Schizosaccharomyces pombe: one gene and its partners. The gene in region 4 interacts genetically with the main gene of each other region. Each region holds a gene or a part of one and is shown on either strand. Other genes may lie near its edges.

The links.
Region 1: mutations in tma20 (region 4) and nop10 together harm fitness less than expected from each alone (positive genetic interaction), as found in Schizosaccharomyces pombe (one large-scale study listed by BioGRID).
Region 2: mutations in tma20 (region 4) and dhx29 together harm fitness more than expected from each alone (negative genetic interaction), as found in Schizosaccharomyces pombe (one large-scale study listed by BioGRID).
Region 3: mutations in tma20 (region 4) and mcs2 together harm fitness less than expected from each alone (positive genetic interaction), as found in Schizosaccharomyces pombe (one large-scale study listed by BioGRID).

The regions. Positions count from the first base shown.
Region 1 is NC_003424.3:1,632,326-1,638,665, forward strand, and holds nop10 (snoRNP complex protein), read right to left. Parts: upstream 3,180-6,340; coding exon 3,002-3,179; exon of another isoform or gene 2,950-3,001; coding exon 2,933-2,949; 3' UTR 2,786-2,932; downstream 1-2,785. Other genes in the region: SPOM_SPAP27G11.12 (uncharacterized protein), read left to right, coding at 37-69, 120-2,417; SPOM_SPAP27G11.14C (uncharacterized protein), read right to left, coding at 3,737-5,806; structure-specific endonuclease catalytic subunit Slx1, read left to right, coding at 6,318-6,340. UniProt on the Schizosaccharomyces pombe protein: Non-catalytic component of the H/ACA small nucleolar ribonucleoprotein (H/ACA snoRNP), which catalyzes pseudouridylation of rRNA and is required for ribosome biogenesis.
Region 2 is NC_003423.3:2,242,585-2,253,428, reverse strand, and holds dhx29 (ATP-dependent RNA/DNA helicase), read right to left. Parts: upstream 7,095-10,844; 5' UTR 6,707-7,094; coding exon 2,420-6,706; 3' UTR 2,125-2,419; downstream 1-2,124. Other genes in the region: SPOM_SPBC15C4.06C (ubiquitin-protein ligase E3), read left to right, coding at 23-1,693; SPOM_SPBC15C4.04C (amino-acid permease), read left to right, coding at 8,970-10,598.
Region 3 is NC_003423.3:1,890,199-1,897,319, reverse strand, and holds mcs2 (transcription factor TFIIH complex cyclin Mcs2), read right to left. Parts: upstream 4,341-7,121; 5' UTR 4,165-4,340; coding exon 3,892-4,164; exon of another isoform or gene 3,806-3,891; coding exon 3,732-3,805; exon of another isoform or gene 3,680-3,731; coding exon 3,058-3,679; 3' UTR 2,912-3,057; downstream 1-2,911. Other genes in the region: SAGA complex, phosphatidylinositol pseudokinase subunit Tra1, read left to right, coding at 1-2,887; GDP/GTP exchange factor Spo14, read left to right, coding at 5,664-5,777, 5,925-6,050, 6,097-6,381, 6,438-6,779, 6,836-7,121. UniProt on the Schizosaccharomyces pombe protein: Essential for progression through the cell cycle. Possesses kinase activity that can be detected when myelin basic protein (MBP) is provided as an exogenous substrate.
Region 4 is NC_003423.3:3,767,830-3,774,772, reverse strand, and holds tma20 (RNA-binding protein Tma20), read right to left. Parts: upstream 1,477-6,943; 5' UTR 1,466-1,476; coding exon 1,455-1,465; exon of another isoform or gene 1,401-1,454; coding exon 1,248-1,400; exon of another isoform or gene 1,193-1,247; coding exon 1,095-1,192; exon of another isoform or gene 979-1,094; coding exon 774-978; intron 715-773; coding exon 657-714; intron 636-656; exon of another isoform or gene 582-635; coding exon 561-581; 3' UTR 501-560; downstream 1-500. Other genes in the region: histone chaperone Hip1, read left to right, coding at 1-416; protein Cwf4, read left to right, coding at 1,716-3,740; armadillo-type fold protein, zf-MYND type zinc finger protein, Mub1-Rad6-Ubr2 ubiquitin ligase complex Mub1, read left to right, coding at 5,796-6,943. UniProt on the Schizosaccharomyces pombe protein: Involved in translation.

The DNA of each region.
Region 1 (6,340 bases), on a different chromosome or scaffold from region 4:
AATAATTGAAAATTTCAAGTGTACTAACCAATTCAGAACATTCCAAAATTTGACCTTATATGGGAGCGTGTAAGTGTGATCTTTATTCGTGAATATTTTTGCTAACTAATAATCTTTAGCTTTGGACGCTTCCAGAAACAACCGAAGACGTGTTTCATTTGATGTCTATCGATGATTTGACAAAAGTTAAAGACAACGCTCCAGAAAATTTGCAAACTATTATTGCTGTACTCTGGGACAAATTAGAAGATCTACAAAAAGAAACATTGTTTGATGACCCCGCCGCTCCCACTACAAAATGCGCGTTAAATTGTATGCGACTTTTGACAAGGCTTATGCCAATTATATTTGAGGATAAGTCAATGTTAGAATGGTTTGACTATTTTGCGTGGACAGTTCCAAAGGATCCGAACATCAATACACCCCGAGGAGCAAGCTTTTTAAACACCGTTGTAGATTATCTGTTCCTAATCAATTTTACCATCCCTGCTCATAATGATCTTACCCATGGAGTTCACTACTGTATTTGGGAAACTGGGGTAGTTTATCATCCCACAATGTTGAAAGAGCGCTCGTACGAACTTCACCGTGTCGAAGTCCTCCGACTCTTACTTTCATTATTTTCCGAGGAAATATATCGAACAGATGGCAATGGAAGCAGTTGTTGTGCTTATGTTGCTTCAATAGCTAACAGGCGCTTAGTCCTTTGTCTTCTTTCTTCTCTCATCAATACAGCAATGCGTTTCAATACGATGTTTTGGAAGCCTGAGTTTCTTCCCCTTGACAACTCGGTAGCTCACATGTCTTTGATAGAGTATTGTTTTTCTGTCCTACTCATACTAATGTCGGAAGAAAACAACAACGGCACTCCTTGTTATAATAATTACCGTTCTTCAAAAAACACATTACCAAAAAACTATTTTAGCATTCTGCTTTCAAAACTTCAACCTTATTCAGATTTCCAAATCATCCTTGATGGAATGAGCAGACTGTTATATCCCCCTATGCAATCTACCATTCCAAAAAGAAGCTCATTGATTATGTTTGACTACTACCCTCTTGTATTAATTTTTTGCAAACTTTTTATTCATTATAACGAGAGGTTTTTTCATTATCTTATTGATACCGATCGAGCAATCGATTTGTTTATATTTTTGTTATATTTAAGTTTTGAATATCTCGGAGATCCTTCGACTTATAACCACTTAAAGCTTTGTGTAATTCTGTTAAAGCGCTTGACCGCTGAAAAATATTTTTGTAAGCGCTTAAACAAGCCATTTCAACAGCAGACCGCCTTACCAATTAGCATGCCAGTTCCTTTCGAAGGTGGTACTTACGCAGATTTTACCATTATTGCAATTTCATTACTAGTGCAATATACTAAAGATTATCATTCCGAGATTGCTCAAATGCTTTGCTGCTCGCTTTGCTACCTTTGTTTATACGCGCAAAATTTAAACTCACATTCCAGCCAGAGTTTGTTTGAATTGTTTCAATCTGCTTCCTATCCAGGCTTTTTAATTTCTAACGACGTCAATCACAAAATTTTAAAGTATGTTATAGGAGCTATCAACAATGCAATTCAATATGCCCAAAAATACAATGCACCACTCTTATACTTCTTTTCAATGCACAAAGATTACATTGAAGCGGTCAGCGCTTTATCGTTTGATGCCATTATGAGTGTTAGAAACTCATCCGCGGAAGGAGATTCTGCATACTGGACTCGCAATGGTAAAACATTTTCTTCAAAAGCGTTTGACTCCATATTGTTAAGCCGACTTCGATATGTTAGGTCAAAAAGTCCAACGCCATATTATCCTATAGAAAGTAGTGAATTTGGTTTCACTAACCTCAAAGACGTTACTAGCAAAGATGAAATTACTGATGGATTCGATAAAGCACTTCGCTCCAATTCTTTACGTACTCACAGGGATAGTAGGCCTGTCCAACCATTGTTGAAGCAACGTCCTCAATTACATAGAGCTCTTACAGAAAGTGCCACACTCCATGGCAATGACCGTTCGTTAGAAGATACCGACGAAGCGAAGGTAGAGCCAATTGCTCATTCAGTAGATTACACTTTTAAGCCGACTGTAGAATGGTGGAATAAATGGTGGCCTTCGCTGAACTTCCGAACTATGCTCGATATTTTCACTGACCTATCTCTCAAAATCAGTGATATGAAGAAAGCCGGTCATCCAGCTTCAGAAATCATGGCTATGATAAAAACTCAAAAATACCCAGCAACTAATCAACCATACATTCCGAAATATAGAACAAAGGAATGGAGACAACAATTGGCAAATTTTGCTCGTCTATTCGCCTGGCAAGTCTCATGCGATTTAGACAGTCATAAAAGAGAAGGGCCAGGCATCTTTGAAGGTACGGATGTCAAAATATTTGACTCATTTTAGACTTGAAATCTCCTTGAGGATTATGCTTGAGCGGCATATCTCCGTTTTAAGAATTGAAATGGAGAAATTTGAACTATCCTAAGTTTTGTATGTTCAAAGAGTCTGTTTGAATAGATACTTGGCTTTTTACATCTGTTTTATTTTTTTATTATTTCTTTTCACAAATTGGTTAAAAAAATGTTGTTTCGTTTTTCATTCAGAATTACCACTAGTATGTTACTACTTTTATCGTTATTTTACATTCTCAGTAACTGTTTAGCATTTACTAAAAGATTTTATGTATACACCAGGGATTTATTCTTTGTAGTTTAATAGATAATAAATGCAAATGCCAAACAAATAATGCTTCGCAATAAACATCGGAAAATCAACTCAAGTTGAAATATATTTTTTTTTCAATTGAGCACACTACTCACATAACCAAAGAAAAATCAAAACTATTGATTATTTAACCAAAACCATACTTATGTAGCTCCCTTCTAAAGGCGAAAATTTTTCGACGTTTTCTTATTTGCTCAGTAAGGTTTTGCAGCTAATCGTTAGAACACTATCATTATACCAATTAATTTAATAGAAATACTTACGCAATTGAGTAAGTAGTACATGAAACCGTTTTTTCAGAGTATAACGTTGTCGAGAATATTTATCGTCAGGAGAGAAACGAGCAGGATGCGAAGATTTTGTGACTCTTCCATCTGGAGATACCTTTTTTAAAGTATAAACACGCTTTCCCTCATCATTTAAATAATACATCAAATGCATTGTGAAAAAAAAAACGGATATTACAATTTTCCTATGGTGCTGGAAAGGTGTAAATGTCAAAAGTACCTCAACTTCAGGTGACTGTTTTTGTTGCTAAATTACGCTAAAGCATTATAACACAGACATAATCAAATATTAAATTATTTAGCGACTCTCTTCTTTTATTATTCACTAAAATTTAAAAACAATACTGTAAGCAGAATAAGCAATATGGGGTTAAGGATATAGCAATCTTCGTAAAATTAAAACAGCTATTGTCATTATAATAAATTAGAATAAAATAATTTCTTTTAAAATCCGAGTTTTCAGCTATTAAGAAAATGCGATTAATTATTGACCAAATCAGATCCAACTATTTAGTTTACATCTTTAACATACGTTTGCTTGGAACATTTAGTAATTGCACCTTAGTACACTTAACTTATGGGTTATTAAACAAGGGAGTTAAACCTCTATTTTAAGCAGTTCGTTTTTGATTGTCTTTCTTTAGGGAAATATTATTTTTTTTTTTTTATTGCGCATCTAATTAAGATAGATAATTAATTGATGTCTTTGCTTTAATAATCACTCAAAGAATTGCTCTTTGTCTCCTTTTCAAACATATCCATTAACGTTTGACTAAGTTTGTTCCATGCAACCTCCCCCATTGAATTTTCAAAAAACAAAAGTAAATTAACCAACCGCGGTAGAAGACTGGATTCTGATAAATCATCGTCAGAATATCTTTGTACTCTGATATATTTCCTTGAACAATTGAATATATGGCTCAAATTATCATTCCTAATGATACACTGTAATCCACCTAACTTTTGCACTGCCTTTAAGCTTGATGGGTAAATTATGTACGGACATTGTTTGTGATTATATTTTAGTAACTTCTCTGCTTCTCCGAGATCCAGCGTTTTCCCCACATCTGTAATATGCCAACAGAGCATTCGAATCGGGTTGATCAATAGTCGAGATATAAACCAGTGCGAACTGAATGATTGGTGGTAAAGGCTATTTTCAAAATTTCTTTGCATAAATTTTAAAATAAGTTCTTGTATAGCGATTCTCTGTTTCGGTGTAAGCGACTTTTGTCGCTGATGAACAAATTCTGACAAGTATTGAAACAACGTTGATTCATTGTATTGCTGACTATGTAATTTTGTCAGAGCGATTCCTTTCCTGGAACAGAAAAACAAATTTTTCAGATGAGTAGAAGACATAATTTGATACAGACCACCCATTGCAGCTACAGCATGTAGATGGTATCGTTCCAAATGGAATGGATGGGCAAATGATTTAAGAAATAAGCGGTTTGCCTCCTGTAATACAACCATTTTTTTTGCAATCATTAAATAAGAAATCAGACATAAGGTTGGCTTAACCAACAAGCTAGCGAGCAACGTATTAAATGAAGAAGAAAAAGAATTATTGAAAAGTTCTTTTTCGGATAACTCTTTCCTGGCGACGTTAAACTTTGAAACATATAAATCAAAATTTTGGTATATAGTCTTTTCTGATTCAGGAATAGATAATATTGAAATTGACTCGTTAGATATTAATTTATTAGGAATCACAGTTTTTATGCTTCGAGTAAACTTGTAAGTTTCTTTTTTTGTCTCCTCGACATTTATTGTTTCGTATAAAGAGTCAATCATGGCATCCCAAACGTCCACTGGAACAATTTTCTTTCGATTTTTGGAAGATGAATATGCTAATAAAAAAATTTTTGCGACAAATAAGTCATCTTTTTCATTTTCTACAAATGCAAGCAAGTTTTTTTTTAAACCCATCAAGTAAACAGCGTTGTATAGACCTCCAATATACTTAATTGCTAATAAATTTCCTTTCGTGAATTGTTTTGAATGATTGCTTGCTGTGCTAACAGCTGTGTCTTCAAATTTCATGATTTTTTTACCGGATAAATCTTCAAAAACTATTTGAGAAAACATGAAGTGCAAAGGATCAACGAGTAAGCTTGTGAATGCCCAGCATTTTGATGAATTTTTCAACAAAAACTCGTCATTGTGCGAACTAACTTCAACGTAAACATCTTTGAAGACAGTATTAGTATTGATTGATGATTCTTTGAAAGAAACTTTGTCATTGGCGTTGGAAAGTATGGAAGCAATCCTTATATACAACTTTTCAGATGATACGACACTATCGTCAGTTGAAAGCAAAATAACTTTCTGAGCTGAACAGTAAAAAACATCAGTCAAATATTTTCGTATGAAACTTTGAAGAGAAACAAAATGGTAAAAAATGCTTTCAGGAATCAAGCTCTTCCAAATGTATTCAGCTTCATTTATACCAGTTAAGCAATTGGATCGTCTGGCATACCAATAGATAGCTTGAATTGCGTTTACAACAATAGATGTAAGTTTTTGGTTCTTTCTAAAATCAATGACGGGGACTGTAGCAGTAAGGTCATCATGTTTTTTTTTTTGCCAAGTTGAGTGAAATCGCCTATTGCAGCAATTGTTTGAAACAATGACTGAATTTATCAACGCATAGGTGGTTGCTGTAATTTTGAAGAAATCATTAGTATGCTTATAATTTGCAAAAATAACCTCATCGGCCTTCGATATTATTGCTTTGATTGGAAATCTGTCGCGCAGCTGATGAGAAAGCAAGTTCATTACGGGCCGCTCAAAAAGGTGGCTTTCTGGATTTTTTTAGAAAACTATCGTATACTGTTAGCAATCATTGAGTATTGACGACCGAGTATTAAAAATCTAAAGATTTCTTAATTAGTGTATATGAAGGAGAGGACAAGGTAGGTCCTTTGAAGTAGCTTTGTTGAGAATTTAATACAACAAAAAAAACACGCTTAGACGGTGCTTAAATAGGTTCAGTAATTCTTTCCTTTTTTTTGAATTATAAATAATCCTTAGTGAAAGAGAAAGTAATGAAGCACGTCAAATAACAATTTAATCTTACAGATTTACGTGGATAACCCTAAAGACAGTAACGGTGACCTTTTGTTTTACATTGTTTTCTTACTATTATTCGAAGACAAAGCTGAAAGAAAAAATACTTTTAGATTATACTTTCAATTAATTAACTTAACAAGCTTATAAAATTACCACTAGTTAATTGTTCGATTACCACGGGTTAAGAGAAAAGTGCTATCGAAAAGAATTATGAAACATGGATTTGTGCAATTTCTACTG
Region 2 (10,844 bases), 1.5 Mb from region 4:
CTTAAAGTTTGTTTAGGTTCTTATGCATCTGTGTAATAACCAGTTGCTTGATCATCTGGATTGCAATGCAGTTTACAGAGGCTATGTTTCACAAGAGAATAAGGTAAAGAGGAGAAAGCGGCTGTTTAATGCAATTCGTAAACTATGGAATGAAAGAAGGCGATATCGAATGCCAAAGGACGAAAGTATCTCGCCAACTCCAATCTCTTATTCATTTAGATCATTAAGAAGAGGCCATACTAGTGGGCATGCTAGTGAACACACTTCTTCTTCAAGATCTAGTCATGATGAATCAGATTCTATGTCCAGTTCTAGTGAATCAGACTCGGATTCTGTTTCCAGTGAATCAAATCCCAAATCTTATTCAGATTCTAGTACTAGTTCTGCAAGGTCGTCCTCTACTTCTGGTTCAATCTCCTTGTATGATGATTATTACCCTGCTTATTCCAGCAATGCTCCAAATACTGCAATATCTAATTATGTTAGCTCTGGTCTTTCATATTACGGAAATTCATCTATTATTATGAATGCTGTCGAATACAATCAGTTCTTTCCGCTAACCATAACTACTCTTATTGTTAAAAACAACAAGAATGTTGTTTCAAATCTTCCAAAAAATGTCTCATTTTACTTCCACTCTGACAACACGGTCCTTTTGAATGAGTATTACAAAAGCTTGTCTAAACTGAAGAATAATTTTCGTGGAATTATATATAAAACTACTCCTTATGGTAGCTGCAATGACACCGAGTCACTTCAAGTTGATACCAAGGGAAGCGTATGGTTTAGAGATGTTTCTAATATGGGAAGTTCTGGCTTAATCGCATTCGCGCCGTTTGACTATTGTGCTCCAATGCATGTATTGCAGGCTGTCCAGGATAGAGCAAAGGCAATACTATTTTATAATGCAAGCACTGCTAGTAATTCATTAACCAATTTTGACCACTTTGAAGATGCTGTAGATATGATTACCTTTGAAACATTACCAATGGCACTCATATCTTACGAAAACGGCATCGCTTTTGAAAAGATTCTCAACGAATACTCGGCTTCTTCTTTAAATTCGGTGCAGGATGGTGGAGCATTAGTCGAATATTTTGGAAACATTGATGCTACGGCCCGTTTGGGCGTTATCATCAGCAAGGAACCAAAGCTACTTGGCCTCTATATATTCATTGGTGTGTTATTGGGTTTAATCGGTGTCATAGGCCTTTTTATTTGCCTTCACTTTTCTGGTGCAATGAATGGATTTTATAGACTCTTAAATCGTCATGGAATTCCTGTTCAAGAAAGAATTGTGAATATTGGACCAAACAAACCAGAAAATCGTGTTACTAAAGAAATGCTCGATACTTTGCCCGTTAGAATGTTTTCGGGGCCTCATCTTGCCAATCCTAATGATGAGTTGGTTTATGAAAAGGATTGGAAATTAGACAAATCAGAAAGTTTTGATGGACAGGGAAATGTGGTTACTACAGCCGAAAGAGGGAGTAAGTATTTCGATCAGAGGGAGTGTACTATTTGCTTGTGTGAGTATTCAGAAGAAAGTCCTCTTTATCGAGAACTGCCATGCCATCACATCTTTCATCCGGCTTGCATTGATCCTTATTTATTAAAAAATTCGGATCTTTGTCCCCTATGTAAACAGTCAGTTACAAACATGTTGGAAAATGCTTCCGAGGACAATGTTTAAACTGCATATTTATGAATTTTCTCCATTGGTTGAGTAATTCCTGTACTTCTACTCATAAGGATAATTTTTTTTATAATCTATATTAGCATATTTTGTTCGACTCTCATTCATTTACGTTATAATATTTTGCTTGTCTTTATACGCATACGCATACTCATACTTATTGTTCAGTTCTTCCTACGACGAAGAAAACTTACGCTTCCTTAAGTTCATAATTTTCTTGCATCTTTTAATGGGCTAATTATCTATTTCTCATCGTTCTAATCTATTATTTGTGTTATCGTATGAATTCTATAGTACTATATAAAAGCTTACTATACATGTCATTGTTTACTATAAAAAGTTTAATACACATGTTGCTTGCTAGTTTATGATGAAGGTACAAAAAAACTATTAAGTATTTTACAAATTAGCCGGTCTAATGCTAAATTGCATATGTAAATATTTTTTTCTTTTCATTTAGAGACCTATTTTGATATTCTAAGAAAACGATATACAGTTATAATAATTGACATTTTTGGATTTGAGAAAATTAAATACTCTGAATTGTGTCTCATAAAATAGAAAAGCCATCAGTTTCTGCAATGAAGCCTTAGATAACTCCATTTTACACATTTATGCTCAACCAACATAATTCTTACATTTTCCAAATGGAAAGAAAATTTGCCTGTCATTAAGCAGATATGTGAAAACCAACTTTCTGATATTTCATTTTTGATACTTTCATTAATCTTTGAGACGTTTCTGAAATTTGGTTCCGTAATTTAACCGTGAAACTATGTTAACAATAACCTCAAGATGGGAATTCAATAAGCGTTTATCAGGTTCAGCAAAAAATTCGTTTAGAGAAGTTTCAATAAAGCGACGTAAAATACTTAAAGATGCCGAAACGTAAACATTTTCAAAATATACTGTAAAGTTGTCAAGCTTTGCTTGTCCAACTGATACTCTATTTTCGACTTTAAGGCCGCACATCATTAGAAGCTGGCGAAGAGTAACCATAGTAGTTTCATTAACATACTCACTAGCTCGAGTGGAAGACATCATGTTCGTGTAAGCAACGAATTTGGACGGCATGTTAGGTAACTCAGACCTATTATTCACCGATACATCTAAAATTCTAACACGCTTGTTGGTACTCAAGGTTGACCACTGTCTTTTTTCGTAATCATACCTTAAAATGTTTGGATACAGAGATGCAGCAATTACGCCACACAGAATTTCTGCATTTCCTGAGTTAATATCATGCTCTTTGGGGATAACGGCAAAACGCCGGCATATTGAACGTTTTAGGCTTTTGCAAGTATCAACATCCGAAGCGCCTAAAAGTTTCATATCCTTCAACTCAGAAAGCAGTTGGATTTTTAGTGATTCTGTCATACTTAAAGCCTCTAAATTTAAGTACTTTTCTTTGGCAAAAGAATCTTCATCAGGGCCTAAAGGTGAAAGGCAAATCTCTCGCCAAGCGCAGTAAGCATAATACATCAAAACTAAATCACTCCTGGTATTCTCCTTAGCGAATGATAATCGGGCTTTGTTTGCAGAAAATTCATTGTCAACAGATTTCCTAAAAGGTGAACCGATTGTTAACATGGCTACTATTGAAGAAGCGGCATCTACACATTTGTAGAAGCATCCCAAAACCAAGATTTTTCCTAAATTTGCATCAACAGGTAATTGCGACAAAAATTTGCCGAGTTTTGTTAATTTTTCGTTTTCAGAGAGCGCTCCCACTTGATGAAGCTTTTCTAAAGCACGAATAATATTGGTAGAGGAAGGTGGATCTAACGCCTTGCCTAAGACATCTTGTACATCACCCATTTGGCACATCTTTACTCGCAAAACAACTTCTTGCAGATTAAGTCTCAGAATTTCAGGTGTCTGGTAAGACAAAAATTGGGTATCATGTTTGAATTTTGAGAACAAATGATAGCAGATACCTTCCTGAACACGACCAGCACGTCCACTACGTTGCTTGGCATTGGCCTTAGATACAAATGTATCAGTTAACCGAGAAAGATGTCTTCTACTATTATAACGCATTTCCCTATGTACTCCTGTATCAATCACACAAGTGACATCTGGAATAGTAACACCAGTTTCAGCGATATTTGTCGACAATACAATCTTGCGGCACCCTTTGGGAGGGATGTTAAAAACGGACTGTTGCTGCGCAGAGGATAGTGTAGAGTGTAGCATGTATATACAGAACTTACGATGATTTCGAAACATAGGCATATCTTCGATAAGAGATTTTACACGAAGGATCTCCGAAATACCAGGTAAGAATACTAATACACACTTACTGAATTTCGGATCTCCTTCAGTGAATATATACTTTAAGAGATAAACGATTAAACCATAGTTAATGGCTTTCTCGTTATACCAAGCTGGAATTAGGTTCATTTCAACAATGGCATCCTCCGCAGATTTGTTTGAGATGCTCGCATCTTGTTGGTCGGTTTCATAGTCATCTTCCTCTATAACATCCTGTCCGGCAGCGTTACCGAACGACTTATCATTTCCAAACTGGGAAAGTATATCTTCTAAATAAAATCTATGCACTGGATATGTTTTACCAGGTATTGTGATTAAATTACTTCCTTCAAAGTATAACTGAAACTTTTCGGCGTTTAAAGTTGCACTCATAATTATAATCTTAAGATGAGGATGTTGTTTAAGTAAATGAAGTACATGAATTAAAAGAAGATCCGAGTCAATGCTGCGCTCATGAACTTCATCAATAATCAGATGAGTCACAGACTCTATTTCGTTTCCAACTTCTAGGAGACGCAGAAATGTACCTGTAGTAACATAAGTTAAAGGTGTTAAAGGCGTACATTTGGAATCCAGACGAACAGAATAACCAACAAGCTCATGCGAACGAGCTGAAGGAGGATTGCCGCCAAGTTCCTGAGAAACACGATTAGCTAACGATATGGCACTGATCCTTCGAGGTTCTGTAACATAAATTTTGACTGCTTTTCCATTTTTTGTAGAATTTTCCAACAGAAAAGCAGGAATTTGCGTACTTTTACCGCAACCTGTGTCTCCTGATATAATTAAGAGTTGACTATTATTGACAGCATCAATAATTGTCTCTCTAAACATCGTAGCTGGCAACTGATTACGGAAAACCTTAAATTTTTCGGCTGATTCACTTTCAAGTTGTTGTCGCCATTTGTTTAGTAAAGTCTCAGGTGGCCTTTCAAATCCAGAAAACTTGCCAATATTATCCATAGGGGCCATGAGTTTAGAAGTGGTAGCGCTTGTTGGGGTCTCCAATTCTTTGCTCTTTATAATGGAATCCAACTTCTCGGAAATCTTTGCATCTTCTGCTAAGTCAGTGTTTTGTTTTTCTGCAGAAAACTTTCCATAAACCTCTTTAAACGATTTTGGAAACGTTTGTAACGAAATTTTAGTAAAATTGGCCATTAATCTAAATAAAACTATCATTGAAATATAATCTGCAGCCAATGTGGCAGTAGGCAAAACAGTTTTCAGGTCGGAAAAAGTCTTCTGGCCGGTAGAACATCTAACAAAACAGGTGGACTGATATCCTATTTTGCCGATTGGCATAGTTTTGAACTCTGCTTTAATGTTTGATCCGATTTTGTGAAGCTCATATTGCAACGTAGTACTTGGACGTGTTCCAGATTTATCGGTAGTTAAAGGAAGAAGTGTGTAGTTTGCATTAAGTAAATCATTTTCAGTATCCTGAATGTCTTCTTCTTCTTGATTAAATAAATCTCCCATAAGGTAAGCATCGTCATCCGCTCTAGTTTCTGCATCGTTGTGTGGTGACATATCATTGCTTTCAGAATTATTATCATCATCTTTACTGGAGTCATCAGTGCTTTGAGAATCTTCTTGGATGCCATTTTTTTTTATTTCTTCTACAATTCTCTCGTTTTCTAATTTTTGTTGGAGAGCTTTTAACTTGTTCATAAACTCGATTCTGCTTTTACGAAACACAATTTCTGCCTCTTTAGACGAAAAAAGATATTGGCTAGTAATGCTTTCTAGTTGCAAATTCAGTGTACTAAATTCTTCTGAATTTTTTTTATTGGCAATTTGTAGTCGTAACATTTTCAGCTTAACTTTAACATATTGAGAAGTCAAGTCAAAAGGATCATCAAATGGAATGTCATCTTCAGGCAATTGGGTAAGTACCTCTGACATTGTGAGTGGCTTTGAATCCTTAGATTTCAATGAATCATCGACTTGATTAGAGGGCTGAGTTTCTTTATTAGGTGTGTGCTTTATATCGTTAGAAAAATCCTTCATTAATGGGACAAGTCTACTATTTGATTGAACCGGATTATTGGCAGGTAACGGTTCATCGAGCATCCTACAAAAAGTAGTGTAATTACTAGGTTGCACTTCGTAAGAAAAAGATGAATTAGAAGGTTCAGAATTGATTAAATTCTCTGTTATCATCCAAGTGATATATTCATCTATCGAAACTATAGGGATAGATGAGAAGGCGCCAAATATTTCTGATTCTTCAAACCCCATACCTTTAAGTGAAAGAAATGTAGTCCAAAGATACCGTTTCCTCAGAGAAAAACTGGATCGATTTGAGAAAGCATAACTTTCTTTTAGAGAAGATTTCCAAGAGTCCCGAAATGTTTTCAAAATTTGTTGAATTTCATCTTCGGTCAAGCCAAGGACGTTGTCATTTTTACGAAGTCTTATATCCGTTTGCCAAGAATGTAAAAATGACTTTGAGTTTGATAAAGAGGTATTTTTTATGACTTCAGTTTCGGCATCAATAGTTGGAAGCGTTTTGTCTAGTAGGAGATGGTCAAATGCATCAACGGTGTCAACCCCTATATCATTTGATTGATTCTCAACTTTGAAAGCATTTTTGGGCTCAACCTTTTGGGTTTTATTATTTTTCTCTCCTTTAACCTGATTTTTATTTGCCGGAGAGGAGGCACTTCGAGATGGAATGGATGTAGTGGCATACCCACGAGCAGAGTTCGAAGCTTTTGATTTTTTTTTAGCCATTATTTAGAACAAAAACGGTTTTTAAATCGGTCTTTAAAACAAAAAAATCAGAGTCTAATAGAAAATGTTCACAGTTCGTGGTTAAAATATTCTTCACAGGTTAGAATAACAATGAGCCAAAAAAGTAATAATAATAACAGTTAAAATAAAACTATATTGGACATCGAAAATTATTTACTCTTGAAAAGAAAAGAGTTTTAAACCAGAAACAAGGAATGATAAATTTTCATTTAATAAAAATATAATACAAAGCGATCAGATGGTTTAGAAATAAGCTGATTTATCAGGTTTTTGCTTTTTTTTTTCTGTCCAACAAATAATATCCACGAATAAATAGTAATAGGGAATCGCTGAGTACAATATTTTGTAATATTCTCTTGTGGGTTGTAGAGAGAAAGTGTATATATAACTGGATACCAATATACTCAATATATAATTAAATTTCGAAGTATTGGGGAAAAGAAAAATAAAAAAAAGAGATTAAATTAATTATTAAAGTATCTTATACAACCAATAATCAAGATTAAAATTGAATTATGGGCTGCAATCCATAAAAAGGCTATATGTAAGTTACGAATGGGTAAAGTATGAAAGAACGGCATTAAAGCAAATACATTTAAACAGGTTCTCTAACGTTGTTAGTGAAGTACCGATTTATTAAAAATTTGATTTCATATTCCTCCGAGGACTACATATACATGGCATTTTTTACCGCCTGTTATTTTCCAAAACTAGTTAAGCTTTTTCCAAAAAAATATTTCCCAATGGTAAATGAAAATCCCGACTCAGTCGCCTATACTGTTCAAATTTAGTACTTTTTTCTAGGGCAATACAATCCGTAAAACTAGCTTCCCTAAACTCCTGTGTTAGAGTAAACTCAATGTTTAGCTATTACAACATAATTAGATAGTACAGCTTGAATTATTGTTTATACATGCTTAAATTTTTAGTACCATTGAACATTGGGATTGTTGCCAGAGTGCTTATTTGAGATGTATTATAATAATATTATTTTAAATAATTTCAGCGTTCTCATTTGATCGTTAAAATTTAAGCTTATTTAAGCGGCTTTTGACAATTTATTGAGTAATTTGAAAGTCTTTGAAATATACATAGATATATTCATAAATATTTGATGATCTTTCAAAAATGTATAGATTTTTTTGAAGAATAGTAATAGAAAAGCTTCCGTAAATACTTAATGTATGAATATTTGGACTTCAAGGTTTTTGCTGGGTATAAAATTTACATGGAGCGCCTTCAAAACTGATATTACTTCATGATGCCAGCGAATATTATAAAAATAATTGCAAATTAATACATATTGTTCCATTAGGATAATCATTTCCAACGAACTATAGAAAAGGACACTTCAGCGAAATGTGATGCTTTTGGCTTCTCTTTTTTTATCAAAGAAGTGTTTGTGGTTGTACTCAATTTAAAGCTTTTAAAGGACCAAACTTGTCAATGCTGCCCAAACACTTTTCAAACCTATTTAAACAAAATTTCACACTATCACATGTATTTTTATATACTTAGTTTTTCAAAAATTCCAGTTGTTCTGTTCCACCTCCAAATCAAATATGCTCAACGTAATATTAACTTCCAACAACTTTTTTCAACAATCGTGAACGATTCTTCGTAGGCCAAAGTTGTCTAAAAAGTTAAAATTTAAAGAGATAGAGTCCGAGTTATGCATCTGTAGCGAATATCTGGTACCCGAGAGAAACAAAAAATGGTTTAGCAGACTAATTGGCATAACTAGTTAGGTATTTCATTAATGCAAATGTGTTGCCAAAACAATGAATAATTGAAGTGTTTGCCTACGCATTCTACGAAGCAGATAACAAACTAAAGAATCTTGCTAAAAGAGTATATAAAAAATTTGTTGATAATTCGCGCACGTGGTAGCCAAAATTGCTTTAACGACAGATAGAAAAATCTCATGCCAGTCTCCGCCAATATTTTCACCTTGAAATAAAAAGTCTCATATATAGGTCAATTTGAGATATAGCGATTATTTCAGAAGAGATTTTTTCTTTTTAGAGCAAATTTCTTTTTCTTTAAATCAATTTGGAGTCGTCCAAAGGGTGAAATTGAAAGTCGTATATAATCTCTTCTTTTGCGAAGAAACTTTGACTTTTTACATTTTTGTTTGTTTGTTTTGTTTTTCGGTTTTTTAGTAAAAAAAGGTGAAAAAGGAAAATACGTCGAATTTTTGATAAGCATATTTGAACGTTAAAGTGGATAAATAAATTATAGTATGGATTCGGTTTCTAACGTAAGCGTTAATGAACAAGGAAAGTTCAATGACAAGGAAGAAGGTTTTAGTAATTTAAAATCCTTAAAACATGTTTCCCATTCTGAAACCGATTTCGAAGTCAGCAACGATGAAGACAACCAACTTCTTGAATTGGGCTACAAACCTGTCTTTAAAAGAGAATTTTCTACCTGGGCCACTTTTTCTTTTGCTTTTTCAATTTCTGGGCTTTTCGCTACTGTCGTCACAACATATTCATATCCCTTGATTTCAGGAGGTGCTCCATCAGCTGTTTGGTGTTGGTTAATTGCTGGTGCTGGTTGTATGTGTATCGCTCTATCCGTTGCCGAGCTAGTTTCTGCTTACCCAACATCCGGTGGTTTATATTTTACTTGCAAGGACCTAGTTCCTGCCAGATCAATGCCCGTTGTCGCCTGGGTCGTCGGTTGGTTGAACTTGTTGGGCCAAGCAGCTGGTGTCAGTAGTACAGATTGGTCTTGTGCTCAATTGCTGTTAGCTGCTGTATCCATATCTACAGATTTGAAATACATCCCTACCAATCAACATATTGTAGGGGTTATGGCTGCTGTAATTGTCTTCCATGGCCTCGTCAATTCCCTCTCTACTCGTTGGCTAGACAGGATTACTCGTTTTTATGCCACCTTTCACTTGATCGTCCTTGTCGTGTGTATGATTTGTTTATTGGCCAAATGTCCAAAGTTCAACACTGGCAAATATGTTTTTACCGACGTGCAGGCAAGCAGTGGGTGGCATCCTATTGGCTTTTCTTTCCTTTTTGGATTCCTTAGTGTTGCTTGGTGTATGACTGATTACGATGCTACGGCACACATTGCTGAAGAAATTGAAAACGCCGCTGTTCGCGCCCCCAACGCAATTGCTCTTGCTCTCTCTATAACTTATGTATTGGGTTGGGTTTTCAATATTGTTTTAGCCTTCACCATGGGTACTGATCTCGATAGTTTGATCAATTCTGAACTAGGTCAACCTGTTGCCCAGATTTTCTACAACGTGTTGGGCAAGAAAGGAAGTATGGCATTTACTATATTATCTTTTATTATTATTAATTTTACTGGAATTACTGCTATGCAAGCCAACGCTCGAACTATATGGGCATTCTCTCGTGATCAAGCCTTACCATTCTCTCGTTACTGGTACAAGATTAACAAAACAACCACTACCCCTGTTATCGCTGTTTGGCTTAACGTTGTCTTTTGTATTGCATTAAATCTCATTGGTCTTGGAAGTATCGAAGCTATTGAAGCAATCTTCAGTGTTTGTGCAATTGCATTGGATTGGAGTTATGTGATTCCTATTGCGTGTAAGCTTATTTTTGGTAAACGATTAAACTATAAGCCTGGCCCATGGAATTTAGGATGGGCCTCACATTTTGTCAATGCCTACGCTGTTTGTTGGACCGCATTCGTATCTGTCATTTTCTTGATGCCTACAGTCCGCCCGGTCACTCCACAAAACATGAACTATGCCGTTGTCGTTCTTGCCGGCGTACTTTTGTTTAGTTTGGTATATTGGTGGTCCGGTGCTAGGAAGTCCTATATTGGTCCTCGTATTAACGTCGATATGGAATCTGAGGATCCATTCAAAACTGAGTAATTATAAATCTGCAAAGATTTCTTATTACCCTAAGCTTCGTCTAAAAATTACTCTTGTTGTTATTCTTAAAAGACATAACTTTTAAGTTAATTACAATTTTTGTTGCAGATCTACTGAGGTGAAACATTTTTATTATCTTCTTTATGCGATTAAACATTCCTAAAATGACAAGCATGGCTATATTTATTTTTTCGAATGCCTTTAGTCGGGATATTTATTTGTTCGAACGGCATACGAACATGAAGT
Region 3 (7,121 bases), 1.9 Mb from region 4:
GTTCCAACAAGTATTGTCTGAAGCCATTCAACTTGCGTTAATTAAGTGGCATCAACTTCCAGAAAAAGTTAATCAATCTCATTATTCACTTTTGCATCTGTTTCAGCAATTTGTTGAACTACAAGAAGCTGCTACAATTTATTCACATCTGAATGCTATCAATTTTCAGAATTTGCCTACTAATGTTCAGTTGATTAAAAGTGCTCTTCAAGTTTGGCAAGAGCGGTTACCTAATGTCTGGGACGATATTAATCTTTGGCGTGATCTCATTTCTTGGAGACAAATAGTATTCTCTATGATAAATCGTGTTTATCTCCCCTTGGTCCCTACGATACAGGCTAATAGTAGTGCTGATTCGTCTAATCCTCCGAATACCTCTTTCTTATTTAGAGGATATCATGAAACCGCTTGGCTAATTAACCGATTCGCTCATGTTGCCAGAAAACATAAACTACCTTCCGTATGTCTGAACCAATTAACGAAGATATATACTCTTCCAAATATTGAAATTCAAGAAGCTTTTTATAAGCTTCGAGAGCAAGTTTTATGTTATCTACAAAACCCAAGAGATCTGAAAACAGGTTTGGAGGTTGTTACAAATACCAATCTGATGTACTTCAATTCTAGACAAAAGTCAGAATTCGTGACATTAAAAGGAAAATTTTTAGAAAAACTAAATCGAGGTGAGGAGGCTAACCAAATGTATGCTGCAGCAGTACAAATTGATTTAGGGTTGCCAAAGGCATGGGCAGAATGGGGTCGTTACAACGATTTGCTTTTCAATAAGTCACCAGATAATTTGAGTGCAGCATGCAATGCCATTAGTTGCTATCTTCAAGCTGCTGGTACTTACCAAAGTTCTAAAGCTCGTAAGATGCTGGCAAGGGTATTGTGGTTATTAAGTTTGAATGACAGCGCCGGTACTATAGTTAAAGCTTTTGAATCATACAAAGGTGATATACCAGTTTGGCATTGGCTTACCTTTATTCCCCAGCTTTTAAATTCACTTTCTAAAGGGGATACTAAATGCGCACCTGTTGTTCTTAAAAAAATTGCTAAATCCTATCCACAGGCACTATTTTTCACTTTAAGAACTGCTCGTGAAGATATTGCACAGGTAAAACGCACTGAGATGGCAGCATGGAAATCAAATACGACTGATGAAAATAAAAGAAATGAGGATATTTTAAGCATACAATCTAACTTTCTTTCTACCAATCAAAGCACGAATGCTCCAGCAACAAATAAAGAAGATGGACTTTCTAAAAAAGTTTGGGAATATATTGATGAAATTATGTCAATTTTAAAAACTGCTTATCCTCTATTGGCTTTGACTATGGAAACTTTAGTTGATCAAATTCAAGCGAAGTTTAAATGTAAGAATGATGGAGATGCTTTCAGGCTAGTGGTAGCCTTGCTTAATGATGCTGTACAGCATAGCATTCGTTTGGGGATCGTAACGGATGAAATGAAACTTCCTTCTTCAACCGAATCGAACTTAAGTTTGTTTGCTGATAATATTCTCCCTGACTATTGTAAACAACTATTTAAGGAAGATTTCATTGTCAATTCAAACGGTTTGAAATCATATATTTTCAAACTAAGGAAATGGAGATCATATTTTGAGCGGTTATTATCTAAGGTTCCTAAAAAACAATATTTGGAACAATACAGCTCATTCTTGTGTGAATTTCATCATCAAAAATTTGATGAAATAGAAGTTCCTGGACAATATCTTTTGCACAAGGATAACAACAATAGTTTTTCTTGCATAGAAAGGTTTCTTCCTGAAGTGGAATTGATAGTAGGACATGGCGTTTGCTATAGAAGGTTATCCATTCGAAGCAATGGCGGAACTATACACCCATTTGTCATTCAGTATCCTTCAGCACGAAACAGCCGTAGGGAAGAGCGTTTTATGCAGCTGACCAGATACTTAAATGATGCACTTGCTTTAAATTGTGAGACTCGAAGACGTTGTTTGAAATTTTACATTCCTGCAGTGATTCCGTTGTCATCGCACATCCGGCTGTTAGAAGACCAACCGTCTTCTATTACTCTCCAAAAAATATACGAAATTTATTCAGAAAGAAATAACTTCTCCAGAGATGATCCGAAAGAGTTGTTTACAAACGAGTTATCAAAACATATGATGGAATTAAACTCCCAAATTAGTCAGGAATCTACTGATGCTGAAAAATTAGCTAATCGTAAACAATTGTTTAGTAGGAGAATCGGAATGTTTGAAAATATTCAAAAGCTTTATTCTCCGTCAACGATTTTAAAAGATTATTTCTCAAGTATCTTTACTAATTATTCCGATCTGTGGTTGTTCAGAAAAAATTTTTCATACCAATATGCTTGTTTTTCATTTATTACATACATACTAAGTATAAATAATAGGATACCTGCTAAGCTTGTTTTTTCTAGAGACTCTGGCGGTGTTTGGACAACAGAAGCGCTGCCATCTATGGTTTCTTCTACTCCAGTTTACCATAATGGAGAAATTGTTCCTTTTCGCTTTACCCCCAACATTAAAGAATTTATTGGAAAAACTTGTACTGAAGGTTTACTGGGCCCTTCAATAATGGCTATAGCTCGCGCGCTCTCCAAACCGGATTTCGATTTGGATATGTACTTGGGTATCTTTATTAGAGATGATCTTTTTTGGTGGCTTGCACAGCAAACTAAAGGCGTGCCGGCAGATTTCAGTATGCTCAACAAAGTCAATAGCAATACTGATCTTATAATGCGAAGGGTTGCATCATTAAGTCAGGTTGCTTATGGTAACTTACCAGTCAATCAAACAGCTATTGATTATTTGGCGCAAGCCTCTAGTTCCAAAGTTTTGGCACAGATGGACGTCTTATGGGCTCCTTGGCTGTGAGAGAAATGAAAATGTTTTTAATTTTACAAATAGACATTAAAAATAATTAATGAGACACACTTGATAGTGAATTTTACTGGGAATTTTTTATAAACGTAAACTATTTTGTCGTAAAAAAAATTGACGAATAATGACTATTGAAGTAAATTTAGCACTTTTCAAAGAAAGAATCATTCAAACGGATTTTTATCCAACACATTACTGCTGGTTGAGAACTTTTTAGCCCATTTGTTGTTATTAGTTGATTCTTCTTCCGCTTTTCGTTTAAGGTACAAAGCACTAGACTTGTTTCGCAGAGGATTCATGCAGAAATATAGCTTTCTGCCGTAATCTTGTGCCTTTTTTTTCTCAATCTTAAATTTTTTTGTAGCTTTCAAATTGGCAGAAATCGAAATTATCAAAGGTTGCAGTTCTGGAATTTTTTTTGCTTCTATATATTGTAAACAAATAGTTGGATTCGTATGATAAATAGCACCCAAAGCAATTATGCTGGGTGAATGTAAGAAATAGATGTCAGAATGCAATGTCTCAATTAGGAATTTTTTGGAAAGGTCATGACATTCGTAAAACTTTTCGACAGCAACTTTCGGAAGCACTGTTTGACAATCTAAAAGGAAGCCTTGTAAAGGACGAAATGGAAGCCAGACGTAAAGGTCCCATTTTAATGATTGACAAACGTTAAATTCGTATTCAAGAACTTCTTCGGGAGTCGTCTTGGGCATGTTTTTACAGAATTGTTCAATAGAGATATAATGATCGTTGCACTTGGTAGCTAAAAATAAAGAAGTAAACCTAATGTAAGAAAAACAATGTTAGCTTAATGGACTCGGCGACTTAAACATACGAAATAATTTTTGGACTATACTCCATGACAGAGTTAATTAGATAAAAGCGTTTAAAAAAAAGAATGGCCGTGGACTAAAATTTTGTGAGTAAAGTCGGAATGTTTATATTGAGTACAGTTTCCAAGTAATTGAAGGAAATCCGACCATGTCTAAACATACGCGAATATGAGTTGGTAAGGAAAGAGCGGAAGAAAGTGCGTTCAACTGGAAACTATAATAATTTACAAGTTCAAGTTCTTCTTCAACGGTAAGAGTTGGAGGCAAAACTTCTAAGGATGCTTCCTTGTTTTGTAAAGACAACTCTTCCAGCATTCGCTCACGTACAATATTCGTAAATTTTTCATTTACTTTAGCACGTGTTTTTGAAAGGTCTTCTTCCGTAAAAATCCAATCTCTGTAATGCGTGGAATCACGAAATTTATCGGCAGACATGTGAATAATGTAAGTAGAATTTACAGCACTCTATCAATTGAGGGTTATGCAAAAATTTAAATACTTCTCTATAAAGCCAGTAAAATAATAATATTTTTGAAATTTGGATACTTCTCTGCTATGAAAAACCCAAATCGCTCGTTCGCTGAGACTTTGTCGAGGACATCAGATACCCTGGATGTGGAGAAGAGAGTTTTTGCAATTAATGTGCGATGTGCAAAAAGAAAGCAGCACTATAAAGTTATATTAATTTAATGAAGAGTTTATTACATAAACTAAAATTTACTAATAAATAAAATATTGTTGAGTTGAAAAAAGTCTTGCATTCATGTTTCAATCAATTTGTATCAGCATAACATTTCACTGAAACGAAGCTGAAAAAAACAATAGTTATATAGGATTATGCTTTTTTATATTCCATTGAGGCATATCATTTAAAGCCAAAAAATTACCTGACAACGTTCAGTTACATATTTGAGTGAATTGCAAATGAACAAGAATTGGTAGTTAAATAAGGAAATGAAACAACATATTATTAATTAAATTTAATTGGAAGTCAATCTTTGAAATGAAACACGCTTTCTGTGCAAAAAACAGAAGTAATATTATAATCATACACAGGCAGCGGCGTATTAAGATTGTAGGCACCTTGGCACGAGATCGAGCATTCATACCCTTTAGTAGAATAAACACAAACATTAATTTCATGGACAATGTAGTCTCGCGGCAATTTCGTCTTAAAAATAATAATTGGAAATTATAAATAAATCCGAAAATTTCTCATCTCCTCACTCTTTCCCCAGTTCTCTTAATCTATTTTCGTAATATGATGAACATGTAGTAAATATTGCTATATAAACTATATAAACAATACAACGTAAACCTGGTAAAATGTACAGGAGACCGAGATATTAAATAGTGTCTGTAGCAAAGTTGCAACCAAACTGAGGTCGGAATTGAGTTCTAAAAAGCTGAAAAGGAAAATATAAATATAAAATGAGCCAGAATATGCTCCGAGATTTAGAAAGAATCTATTATAAGTTTCTGTTTGTTCAAAGATTCTTCGCAAATAAATATCCACAAGTAAGTATCATCCTTTTTTAAGTCAATAAGGATTTAGGTTATCTCTAATTAAATCTTTTCTCTACTGTCATAAAAAAATGGATAAAAACTTATGTATATATTAAACATCGCCTAAATACGTAAAAGAGGATAGTGATGTCGATATTATTCGATAGATTCTGATACGGGGATCTAATATTCTTACAGTATTTGCTTAAGTCTCGAAGTAGGTTCACAGCGATTTCGAAACATACCCACACCACCGTATTCAAATAGACATTGTTTTTTTTTAGTGGAATTCTTGTAAGTGTACTTTATTGATTTGCTCACTAATAAGTAGAATTTTTTTTTGATTCGTCGCCGATATCGATTTATTTTTTCAATACATTCCTATTCCTCGTATCCAGCTTAAAGTGTTTTCTAATTATTAGATCAAAATGGCTGAACTCCACCTTTCTTTTCCAGCTTATTCTCTTTGTTGGATTAATAACCATCAAATGGCGGTTGGTGGTGGAGGAGGAACTACAAAATCTGGTGTTAAAAACAAATTGGTATGTCAATTCGTGACTGTAAGTGAAGGATTACTTCATTATCTATCTATTTTACAGCATTATAAACTTTTTAGTATCCGGATTGTTAGCTAAAAAGATTATGTTTTACAATTGGACTATAGGCGCTAATTAGTTTGTCGAATTTAGAAGTTATTATCATATGAAGACTATGAACCTGAAGTTGGTGAAGGTCATACAAAATTTATAGAACATGGAGAAATCGAACTTAAGCATTCGGATGATGCCGTTATGTCGTTGGGTTATTTTAAAAATGTATGCAATATTTTTTTATTGCATAGCTAACGAAATTAAATTGTAGGAATTAATAGCCGGTATTAATAACACCATTGACGGAAAGTTAATTGACCATTTACGTTTATATGGAAGAAAGGATAAACTATTTGAGGAAAAGAACGCTCTCAGGTTAACCGATTTTGACAATGATGAACAATATCAAAGGTTATGTTTATTTGAGCCATTACACGATGCAATTTGTATATCTTGCACTAATAAAAGTTTTTTTATCATCTCCAAAAATGATCACAAAGTTTTGTTTGAAAAACATGGTTCAGATGTGTATGACGTTTCATCTACTGAAGACAAGGTAAGCCACAGCCTTTACTAAATTTTATTTATTAAATCCTTACCATTCTTTTGTAGCTTGCAATTGCAGTTGATGATCGCGTCGAAATTTATGATTGGAACACTTTTGAATTGGTGCAAGTACTTTACATGCCGGTAGAGCGAGCCACAGTACGAGGTGTTTCGTTTTTACCCAACCAATCCATAGTAGCTGCTTATAACTATATTAAAGATTCCAAAAGGTTTGCTTCATTGGTTCGATTTGATTACAGTTCAAAGAATCAACTTTGGAGATTTGGCATGATCCGAGATTTAAAAAATGCAAAGGGCGTCACCTGCTTTTGCTGTGATAAGGAGAATGGAATGATCATAGTTGCTGGAGCAGATTGCAGCATTCGTTTCATGTCTTTAGACTTAACGGTATGTGTTTACTTAAATATTTTTATTGCGATTTTGCCTTCTAATATGCATGCTAGAAATTGTCTCAAGTTTATAAGCATAGCCTTCCAGTAACTGATATGCAGTTATCCCCTGATTCTGAAGCACTAGTTAGTGTTTCTGCTGATGGCTTGCTTTGTCTTCAGTTTGTAGGAAAATTCAAAAATTTGAGCGCTGTCAAACTTGAGGATGCCGGAGTCATACTTCGATTGTCTCTTATGTTCCCTTTTGTTTTGGCGATCCTGTACTTTTACTTACAACTTCTTTTCCCAGATGAGAAGTTAGACGCAATTCATCGATTCTTTTCCTTTATTCTTCACATTT
Region 4 (6,943 bases):
GTCAGCCGCTCAAAATATATGAACACCGAACTAATAATGTTTTAATGGATTCTGGAAGAGGAAAACTATTACAAAAAATGGTAGCTGATGCAATCACTGAAGAAGGTTATGATGATTTTGAGACCATAGTTACTATTAATCATTTAGAAAACAAAATCGCTTCTGCTCGATTACTTAAGTTGGATGATGAGTTTTTAGTAACAAGCGAAGTTTATGTCAGACTATTAATGCATCATGGTCTTTGGCAAAAATTGGAGGAATTTTTAGGAGAGCTACGAACTCAAACAAAATGTTCAATTAAATTATCAGGAAGAGAAGTTGTTGCAAAAATGTTAGTGGTTTTACGACAAGCAGTACAAACTGATAATGAATTTGATCGTGCAAACAAATTAATAGAAAAATACGCATCAACCTGAAAAAAATTGAGGCTATTTTAAATTTGACTTTTCTTTCTTGCATTCTGTTTAAGTCTAATACAATACTCATTGGAAAAATCTGAATAGTTTTGAAAGCAAAATAATGCATTAATTTTATTCTTTTAATGTCTTATACTATAGATGTTATTCTAAAATAGTCTTCCACTGTGAATATTAGTTAACATTACATTCCAATAAGCAAGAGGAAATTATAAATGGTTTAAAATGTAAATCACATACCAAGTTGTCGCCAAGATAATGCACATTTTCTATGCCGATTCCTTTATTAGTCTCTTTCCTAAACAATTCAAGCATGTTAGTTAATAGTTCAAGTTATGAGTGTCAATAGTATATTACATTTCTTTAGCAGACATTTTTGTAAGCCCAATTGCAGCAGGGGCTTCCTTTCCCTCAGCTGTAACAATCACATATTGATCTTTTTCGATGTCATCAGGCAAATTGCCGCCTTTGGAAACCAAGCCAGGAATCATAATATTGGCACCCGAGAGAAGGAATTTGATAGCTCCTCTGTCTACTCGAACTTGAGTAAAGGCATCCGGACCTAGGCGTATTAGTATATATTTGAACTAAACACAGATATGTTGTTGTCGATTCTGACCAGCTAGACAAAAACCAGAACTCCAATCAAACGTTGCGGTTACGTTAGCTTATACTCACATTTATGAACAAGACGAAGAGAAGGAATGATAGGGCCGTCGAAGTGCTGGAAAAGGATAATTTCGCCATTCAAAGTATACAAAAATAAACGATCCTCACTTAAACAATATCAGTACGACATACTAAAAATCACGGATGCTGATAAGAACGAACCATTTTATTTGAGTTAGTTGTGATTTTTTGGGAATTAACTCATCGATAACTTGTTTTAAGTTAGGATAAGCTTGTACTAGTTTTGCTTTTATTCCTCTTTGAATAGAAGACTTGATTGGAGTAGTTCCCTTTATATCTTCTCTAGAGTTAAATCTGTTGAGGTTAGCAATCATCCTACAAAATTATAAATCCAATTTAGAGCAATACCGTTTGAACATATTATTGAGTATATAGGAGCTGCAGACCATTGCTACAATAAGTTACTAGGTTGTAGCCGCGGTCTCCTCTCGGATGATCCGCGGTGTTGCCGATTACCACCTCGAGGGTTACAAACGTTAGATATATTCATTCATATTTGTGCACGTTTTTGTCTTCTAACAGTAAAAGCCAACTGGTTAAGAGAAGACATAAATCTAGCATATTATTTATTGAGTAATTGTACACTATAGAGATCCAGAATAATATAAGATGACTTCGGAAGCGCCCAGGGTAAAAAATAAGAACCCAGCACCCATCCAAATCTCAGCTGAACAATTGCTCCGAGAAGCTGTAGAACGACAAGATGTGGCGTTTGTTCCTCCAAAAATTAATATCACTGATCTTGAGGAGCTTCAAGAATTTCAAGGTCGAAAACGTAAAGAATTTGAAGATGCCATTCGACGGAATCGTCTCGCTATGGGCCATTGGATGCGATATGGTCAGTGGGAATTAGACCAAAAAGAATTTGCGAGAGCTCGCTCTGTTTTTGAAAGAGCTTTGGATGTAGATTCTACTTATATACCGTTATGGCTGAAATATATTGAATGCGAAATGAAGAATCGAAATATCAACCATGCCAGAAATTTATTTGATCGTGCTGTTACACAGCTTCCCCGTGTTGATAAACTATGGTACAAATACGTATATATGGAGGAAATGTTAGGAAATATCACCGGTTGTAGACAAGTATTTGAAAGATGGCTTAAGTGGGAGCCTGATGAAAACTGTTGGATGAGTTATATTCGAATGGAGAGGAGGTACCATGAAAACGAACGGGCTCGTGGCATATATGAACGATTTGTCGTTGTGCATCCTGAAGTAACGAATTGGCTTCGTTGGGCTCGTTTTGAAGAAGAATGCGGAAATGCTGCAAACGTTCGCCAAGTCTATTTGGCTGCTATAGATGCTCTTGGTCAGGAGTTTCTGAATGAACGGTTTTTTATTGCTTTTGCAAAATTCGAAATTCGTCAAAAGGAATATGAACGAGCTCGCACCATTTTCAAATATGCAATTGATTTTATGCCCCGATCAAAATCTATGGAACTATATAAGGAATACACTCATTTTGAAAAACAATTTGGAGATCATTTGGGCGTTGAGTCTACTGTGCTCGATAAGCGTCGATTACAATACGAAAAGCTATTGAAGGATTCTCCTTATGACTATGACACTTGGCTTGATTTGCTGAAGCTCGAAGAAAGTGCAGGGGATATTAATACTATTCGCGAAACCTACGAAAAAGCTATTGCTAAGGTTCCTGAAGTAGTTGAAAAGAACGCATGGAGACGTTACGTTTATATTTGGTTAAACTATTGCTTATTTGAAGAGATAGATGTGAAGGACGTTGACCGCGCAAGAAAGGTTTACCAAGAAGCTCTCAAGCTTATACCCCATAAAAAATTTACATTTGCCAAATTATGGCTCATGTATGCAATGTTTGAGCTTAGGCAACGTAAGATTGATGTTGCTAGAAAAACGTTGGGTCGTGCGTTGGGAATGTGTCCAAAACCAAAATTATTCCGAGGTTATATTGAATTCGAAGACGCAATTAAGCAGTTTGACAGGTGTCGAATTCTTTATGAAAAATGGATTCTTTATGATCCCGAGGCTTGTGCTCCCTGGCTTGGTTACGCTGCCTTAGAGACTAAGCTTGGAGATAGTGATCGTGCTCGCGCTTTATATAATTTGGCTGTAAACCAGCCTATTTTGGAAACCCCAGAGCTTGTGTGGAAGGCTTATATTGATTTTGAATTCGAGGAAATGGAATACGGAAAAGCTAGAAGTATTTACCAGCAGTTACTACGGACTGCACCTCATGTTAAAGTTTGGATTAGTTTTGCAAACTTTGAAATTGCCCATCTGGAGGACGATGACGAAGAACCACCGAATGAAGAAGTGGCTTCTCCAACCGCTGTTGTGCGTGCGCGAAATGTTTTTGAAAATGCATTGGCCCATTTACGCCAGCAGGGTTTGAAGGAAGAGCGAGTTGTATTACTTGAAGCATGGAAACAATTTGAGGCAATGCATGGCACGGAAGATACACGTAAGCATGTCTCTTCACTAATGCCACAGGTTGTTAAGAAACGCCGTAGACTTGAAGACGGTTCATTCGAAGAATATTTGGACTATCTGTTTCCGGATACGGCGACTGATCAAGGAGATAAGATGCGCAAAATGCTCGAACTTTCGCGAAAATGGAAAGAGGAAATGGCTAAAAAGAAGCTGGAGGCCTAGATTACATATGACATTTATTGGCGCTATCAGTTTAATATTTAGTAATCGTGTAAAATATTAGTAATTAATTGTTTACGAGGCAATGGGTCATGTAAATGGACGTTGTTACGAAGTTGAGGATATTCAGCGCTTTGGACTGTTCGGATAATAATAAAATAACTGTTTTTGCATTTGAAAGGCCGGAATGGCGCGTAGAAATAAGACAAGCAATCCATATTAGTATTATTAACCTTGAGTTTCGATCTGAGTTTACTTACTAAGCAAGATAAGCGAAAAATTTATGGATATTATGTTGAGGGAATCACACTTGTAGAAATGAGAAAGTTGTAAACATGACAATTTTGAAGAATCCAACGCAATTCGTAAATAACACATTAAAATACAATAAAATGAAAAATCCAATCCAAAATATATTTAATATGTACATATTTATATTTATAAATTGATTGTTCTTTACCTTGCCCCATTGACATACGATCGAGTATCTACCAGTGCGACTAATTTTAGTTTTGTTACTCAAAGTGGCAGGACTCACAGGTAAAGAAGCGGCTGGTTTGGAGTTGTGCTGATCTGATGAACTTGTCAATCAAATGAGATTACAAAATCTGACATTGGTTATTTTCAGCACTGACAGCTTATTCGGACCGGTTTACCCAAATGTTCTGCTAAAGTGAATTTACAGAATACAAAAATCGGCTTATGCGACCAACGTATTAGGCAACATTTTGACTTAAAAGAAAAAATTCATACACAGATTCTGCTAAAAACTTAAAGACACAAAGATGTTCGTATGAATAAAAAATGACTGACTATAGTGAAAGAAATACCAACTGTTGCTAGTTAAAGTTGCAGCAAGTTTTTTGAGTTATTGTTGCCGAGATGTCGATCTCTTCAAAGGTAACATCCAGCATCAAAGATCGCCGAGAGTTCCCAACCATTATAGCCAGTAACAACCCAGCATACTTTGCGTTATGGTGCCTTAAAGGTACGTTCACTGACGATCGTTTTCAAACTCGGTTGACACTCGGGTGAAATGAAGTTGCCTTCTGTCAACTGCCACTTCCAAGAATCTGAATAAGAGAACGAGGATCCGGGAAATTTTCGTAAAAAGAATTCATTCAATTAAAATTAAGGGACTTGCAAAAACTATTTACTGTGGTTTTTAAGCTAAATCCTTGCGATTATAAGAAAACACTTATTCTTTGTTTATCAACAAGGCTGATTTAGCTTCACCACCGTTTTCCTTTTCCAAATCCTAACATTTTTCTTCGAACTTTACTTTTTTAATTGATGCAAATCATCTTGTGCTATTCTCTCTTCTCTTACTCTTGTCAGCTGTGATTTGATTTTCCACTAATCTTGTCTAAAAAGGTACTGAGCATATCCTTTATTTTTATTTTCAAGGTTATTGTGGTTTTCATCAAACTATTCTTATTCATTCTCTCTTTGTATCTTCGTTAATCTCGGGTTTTTTTTGTTTGCCACTTCTCTCTTTCTTTAGCCTCGTGATTTTAGCAGACCCCGGGTTACAACTTTTTCGTTGTTATACTTCCTATTGTTGAACTTACTTGATCTGTGTCGCTTCTCGGCTAAAAAAGTGCCCTTGCTCCTTACTTCCTTTTTCTTTTAGTATTTTTTTTGCTCCTTTATCAGTTCTTGACTTCAAGCTTGAGCTAACCGTAGTCCCTTTTACGTTTACTCGTTTTGAAGAATAATTGGTGTAGATTGCTTAAAAGGATTTCAAATTCGGCGGGACTTAAAATCTGCGAAAACAGTAATTTTTATTTTTTTTCGTTTTCGTGATTTTGGGGCACTACTTATTCTTCCTGCTATCGGCGTTTGTTCTTGGTTTTTCTCTTCGGTTATTGCGTTTACACACAGCAGTTTTGAAAATTATTGAGTAAAATTTTGGTATTCGAAAACTGCTTGTCTTTAACTAAAAAAAATATTATCACATCGTTCGTTTTACGCCAATCTTTGCGTTTGCCAGTAATTTATACTGCAGCAATTGTCTTTAAAAAACTTTATACGTGTTAAATATATTATTAAAGAAAGATGAGGGAATCGAACGTTAGCATCGTATGGAATAACAAAGCTTCTGTCACTATCAATACAGTCCTTTATGATCGACGTGCGCTTGACTGTGACTCCGAAATGTCATTAATGAATTCATTAAGCCATCTCGTTTATTTGACTTCGACTTCACCGAAAATTCGTGAGATCCTTACTATGGATGGTGGTTTGATGCGTTTAATGAATATTTTACGTGCCGGACGTGGACAAACATTTGCCCGAATGACAATATGGCAGCTAGCTCTTCAGTGTGTCGTAAATGTTGGGATACGTGGGTCTGAAGCTATTCGAATTCGTGTTGTGGAAGCTGGTATCGTTCCTATTGTTGTCACCCTTTTAGATGATTTTTTGTTTGCGCTTGAGTCCGTTGTTTCTCACCATTCTCGATTTCAATTTTCCCTTACACCTTCTACTACCCCTCCTCCATCATCCGCATCTGCTCCATTCCCCATTAATTCTAATATTAGCAATTCTCTTGATTCTGTGTCTCAACACAATTCATCTGCTGACTCTTTGTTCGTCAACGGTGATGTACCATCTCCATTTGGAGCTAGTACGGCAAGCTCTAGCTCTAGAAGAGTTTATTCGGTGGATTTACGGGATAGTGGAGATGTCCAACTTCCAAATCAATCTACGTTTCGACATTCCGTGAATCGTGATTTATTGGGATCAAGCTCTACCACTAGTCATGATCGATCCTCCGGCTCCATTTATTCAAATGATTCATTTCAAGATCCTCGTGTTCAAGCAAACTCTCCATTAACCATTCAAAGAATTTCATCAGCTGCACCCTCTACTCCTACTTCTACTGAAAATGTTAATTATAACATGACTACCCCTTCTTCTCCTTCATACTCTCGTCAAACAGGCCCTGCTAGTGAGACAATTAATGACGAGATAGACTCTCCAAATTTTTTCTTTCCAACTCCGCTTAATATTATGACTACTACTCAGGATTCATCACGGGATGTGCAATTGTCTTTAAATAATGTTCAATCACAGGCCTTGAATAATCGTCAGCGTCGTAATCAACTTTTACCTGGTGTTCCTTCTACATCTGCGTTATTAGATGGCCGCAGGCCCGAAAATGTAGTTGATTATCACGGGATTGCCTCATTCTTTGACAACTT